2 linked regions of the Kluyveromyces lactis genome follow. The protein of the gene in region 2 interacts with the protein of the main gene of each other region in a pairwise test. Links are inferred from orthologs where the notes say so. Each region holds a gene or a part of one and is shown on either strand. Other genes may lie near its edges.

Region 1 (2,402 bases), about 190 kb from region 2:
GGGAATGCAACGACAATGCACGATCTAGCAGGTTGATTAGGGAAGAATTCTTTGAAAACTTTGTTAACGATACCAGCGTAACTACCATCGGAAACGAACAGCAAGATTTTCAAGACCGAATCAACAGAAGATCCAGATACTTCAAGCACTTTCTTCAAATTGATCATGGAATTTCTAGCCTGTTGTTCCAAATCCTCAGGTAGTTCATTGGTAACAGGATCTGTACCAACACAACCACTACTGAATAGTAACTGATTCCCCGATTCTGTAGCGAACCCAGGTGAAATTAATGGGAACCCGTCCTTAACCCCAACGTCTTTCCATGTAATCTTTCTAGCCATTTCTCTTTCGATAATCAAGTGTCTCCACCCCGCGAACAATAGGGAAGCTAGGCAAAAAGAAAGTACTAAGTCAAAGTAACATACATTTGTGTATAAAACATGTACAAAGGAATATAAGTTGCATCATTTCCATCATTTAATCCTTTTTCAATCATTCCTATTCAATTTCACTGCAAGGAAAAATGAAAAATCCAGCCATGTTGCTGTGTATTTCTACGTAAAAGTCGTACTCAAACGCGTGCCAACCGCGCCTCCTCAAGTCTATACCTAACAATCTGCACGTAGGCTTCATAGTCAGCATCGTATATCTGGGCAATGTCTAGATCTAGTGGCGAGTCCAAACCAGGGTCTGCCAACAAATCTCTTATAGCTCCAACAACATCTAGCAAGGTATATATCGGGGTCCATGCATCTTTCAAAAGATCTAGGCAAATCTCGCCCGTGTCCCACTTCACGTTAGGGTGAGCCACGGTACGTGGCTCAAACAGAACCCGAGGACCGCCACTGATCGGATACTTTTCCAGATCTATGGTAATGTTCAAACCCAACTCAAACCCTTCAAACGGCGATTCTGACGGGCCTTGGAATCGACATACCCATTCGGATAAGTCATCATCATCTACCGGTGCAAGAAAACTGATCCATGAGAATTCAGGGGTCTGCAACCGTTTCTGCAACCCCATATACTCCTTAACAATCCTACTCATCTTCGATCTTTAATTTCCCATGTGTGTGTGTGTTTGCATGCATGCGTGCTTGCGTGCGTGCAAAGACCGTCAATCAATCAATCACGTCACAGAATTGAACCAAATTGAATAATTTTCAGTTCTTCAATAAGATATAGGAAAAAAATTGCAGCAAATCACCCTTTCGGCGATGGAGTGCTCAGGCAACAAAGTTGTCAAAATTTCTTCACCCAGTTACTGCGTATTACGGGTATTACTGGAGAGCCAGATAACTTAGTGGTCACCAAATTGCCAAAACGCTTCAAATGACAACTCAAAATAAACCACGTCCGTAACCTAGTTACCCAGATATACTTCACAGGACAGACCCTGAGGAGAACGTAGCCAACACAACTACACAACTACACATTGCTCTACATTCTACAGAGTAAAAAACATACTCGTCATCGATGGGGCTTGGCCCGTTACGCTCCCATCTGCATTCACGGTGTGTCCTCAGTTCTTTTTTTTTCTTGCCTCGTTTCATTTCTATATTTAATCGTTGACGAAATGCCCCGCTCTATGAAGGCTTGTGCTTGTTTCCCGTGTCGAAAGTTGGCGATGTGGGAACTTTGAAACGTTGAAAAAAAAAAAAAAAAAAAAGGAAGTTCTATGAAACTTGCCTTATTATAAAGGTTTTTTTCCCACGATTAAACGTACACTGGAAAATGTTTCTACCCATCTTGCATTTCACATCACGTACCTTCTCTCCTAAAAGTTTGAGGTAACTGACTCATTGAATTGGAAAGAAAACAGCGGCTATTGTCTTAGCGTATATATATAAAGGGTCTTTTCATTTTACAGAAGACGTTATACTTTGGCTGACGTCTTTTTTTCTTTAATAATTAAAGTTCATTTCTTGGTACTGGTTACTAATTCCCCCTTTTATTATCCAAGGCGCATATATAGCAAACACCAGCAATGAAGTTAAGTGATGTTTGTTTGGGGGCGCTGTTGGCGTCCCTTGGTTCTGCTGGGTATATTACGAAACGTGACGTTTCCCAGGTCGGTGAGGCGAATAAGAAGCATGTCTTCATGTCTTTTGACAAGTTGAGAGGGAATGACGCGTCTGAGGCGTCATTATCGAAGAGACGCGTTGGCCATTTGAAGAAGCGTGCAGATGGTTACGTCGACGTTGAAATCGATAACCAGAACACGTTTTACTCTGTTGATTTAGAGATTGGTACTCCTGCACAAAAGGTTGGTGTTTTAATCGATACTGGTTCTTCTGATTTGTGGGTGCCTGGATCGGGCAATCCGTTCTGCTCCGCTTCTAGGTCTTCTTCGAAGAAAAAAAGACAGGATTATACTGCCCTGTTGTCGTCTTTACTGAGTG
Region 2 (2,630 bases):
CATATTCCCACTTACTGGCACCTGCATTTGTTGCTGTGAAGGAATAGAACGAGAGTCTCCTGTTTTTGCATGACTGGGAGGATATCCAGTGCCTGTGCTCATTTTTTTTTTCAATTCTTTTGTCTTTTTAACAATCTGCTGTATTTCGAATACCAGATCAGATTAACAACCGGCTTTTCAATGAAAAGAACAGAATGAAATAATCCCAAAGCGATTAGTCTAAATTGAGGAATATCCACCTATAAAAATAGTGGTGATGTTATCCCGCAGAAGCAATGAATTACGAATAGAAGTGCAAGAGTAGCCGCGAATATGGTGCTCGCTTAATGTCCTCGATGAAATGGAATTTCAAGTAGTTTTCAACAATTTCAACTTTGAAGCCTGTCGAAAAGTGTAAACATCAACAAGTGCGGGTAACATTGGTATTAAAATGATGAAACAATGGTGATAGTATATCCTAATAGCTGCACAGACATCTAGTTAATACGGAGGCATCATCAGAAATTATCCCGGTACCAGCTGAAATTACAATTATCAACATATCGAGTAATATGTTAAGTTGAAAGAAGATACATATAAATATATATATATATATAAACTAAATTAAAGGGAAGGAGAAGTCCTTTAAGCAGTCTTCCAGACATCTTGTAGACCAAAGACGGATGTAGCGACACCAGCCAGGGCGACACTTGATTCGTCATTACGCAAGAATTGCAAGTTATTTAAGACAATGAAAGTATCGATAGAATCCCAGATTAGTCTTCTGAATGCGGCGAATCTCTCATTGTAGTAAGCGGTCAACTTTTCAGAACTAGCCTTTTCGGTTGGTGCATTGCCCTTAGAACTCAAAGAGGCTTCGATCTTTCTTTGAGAAGTGTACAACTTACGGACATCGGTGATCAAACCAGCGATCAACGCAACGAACCAAAACCAGTTTGTGTAACGAGGAACTTTCTTGGCAGTAATAGGAGTAGCTGGGATTAACTTTAGGATGCGCAACAAGTTAATTTGATCCAAAGTTAAATACCCAACATAACCCACATTTTTGATTATGGACAACCATCTAACCCATTGATCTGGAGCAATCTTGTTATCGTATAATTTGGCTGCGTCCTGGATATGATTCAATGGCTTGAAGAATCTCAAAATCTTTCTGACAGACGTGAATTCAGATTGTAACTGTCTATTCAAACCAGATCTGTATTGAACGGCAAGGAATCTAACCAAGTACTGTAGCAATCTCAAGATCTTTTCTCTGCCGGCTGTTTTATTCAACAAAGAAATGAATTTGGTCAACGTAGGATGATAAATAACTGTGTCTAAAACCATTTTTGTTTGTAAAACTTATAAGTTTAGATGTGGAAGATGACTCAGGATAACTGGCTCAGTATTTCAATTGATTTCTGAAGGAGGTAGAATATTGGAAACAGTATATTCAAACAAAGCACTAGAGAGAGATTGTATCGCAGGTGCAACGTATTTCAACAGAGTCTGATGAGATAGGAATACAAGGAGTAGTGAAAATGCTTAAAACTGCTTGTCTTTATTTTCAGCAGTCATTTTCTACTTTATATATAAATATATATATATATATATAAAGTGTGATGTTATACTTCATATGTCAATGGGCATAGATCAAAGCAGGGTCAACAGAAAATAGTCAGGCTCTACGGTAAAAGGAGAGGATTTCCACTTAGCAGCGAAACGTACTTTATTATCAACTTCTTTCGGGTCCCCCACAAAAAATGGGAGGGACAAGTCAGAGCTGCGAAGTTACTAGCACGGAAGATCCTGCTGTATTAAGGACATTTGTACCGGGGGAAGACATGCAACAATAGCAATCTTACTAGGTGAAGACTGGGATCCCGGGAAAAAGGGCGACATAATATTTAGTATGTAGGCGCACATTTTTACGTGTATTTCGGACCAAATGTCCTTCCGCTAACAGCTTGAAAAGGATGGCCCGATTTGTTCCGAAACTCGAGAAAAAAAAAAGGGACAACGAGAAAGCCATGTATGCGAATCGTGTACAGTGATATAATGACGATTTTGTAGTGTGCAAGCATCAATCACGTGATTTATATCATCGAGATGCATTTCCTCTCAACATCGCGAAACACGTAAAAAAGAATCGTTAACTAGCGAGCGATGTCTTCTGCTTTATAATACTGCGTTCTTTTCTATTGTTTACATTTAGAGCCATCAAGCCCAAACCTAAAATCATTTAAAGCATTTGTATATCTCATATTGAAGAAACGCCAAAAGTAAGATTACAATTCCAAATACCAGCCTATATTTTGCCGGTTCAGCTTCCTGAGAATCGCCTTAGATTTATGCCGAGATGGGATACTATGATATAGATGATATACTGGCTGATGGTACTAGATTTCCCTGTAGATTCAACTATGACGTTCCTGGGTTGGGTTATCTGGAGGGAAACCCAGGCAGACCAATATCGAAAAATGCAAAACTAGAGTTACCACTTTGGATGGTCCATCTTCTTGCTGTAGTGGGTGCGCAATCTAATGAAGATTCTAGAGTTGAAGAACCTCTTCCTTTTGTCGAATTGCTCCCGCCTGATTTATTCGCTCCAAGAGTACTAAACGCTATTAAATCTGGTGCTACTAGTC

Evidence for each region. The genes of interacting proteins can lie anywhere in the genome.
Region 1: the proteins of PEX11 (region 2) and PEX4 interact in a protein complementation assay, tested with the Saccharomyces cerevisiae proteins (2 studies listed by BioGRID). The link is inferred for Kluyveromyces lactis from reciprocal best matches to the Saccharomyces cerevisiae genes PEX11 and PEX4.

Annotation. Positions count from the first base shown.
Region 1 is NC_006041.1:364,548-366,949, forward strand, and holds PEX4 (E2 ubiquitin-protein ligase peroxin 4), read right to left. Parts: upstream 1,049-2,402; coding exon 572-1,048; downstream 1-571. Other genes in the region: KLLA0_E04005g (RidA family protein), read right to left, coding at 1-341; KLLA0_E04049g (pepsin-like aspartic protease), read left to right, coding at 1,988-2,402. UniProt on the Saccharomyces cerevisiae protein: Catalyzes the covalent attachment of ubiquitin to other proteins. Essential for peroxisome biogenesis. Required for UBC4-independent ubiquitination of PEX5.
Region 2 is NC_006041.1:176,890-179,519, forward strand, and holds PEX11 (Pex11p), read right to left. Parts: upstream 1,330-2,630; coding exon 625-1,329; downstream 1-624. Other genes in the region: SPT20 (Spt20p), read right to left, coding at 1-102; DNA replication protein PSF3, read left to right, coding at 2,342-2,630. UniProt on the Saccharomyces cerevisiae protein: Involved in peroxisomal proliferation. Promotes peroxisome division and biogenesis.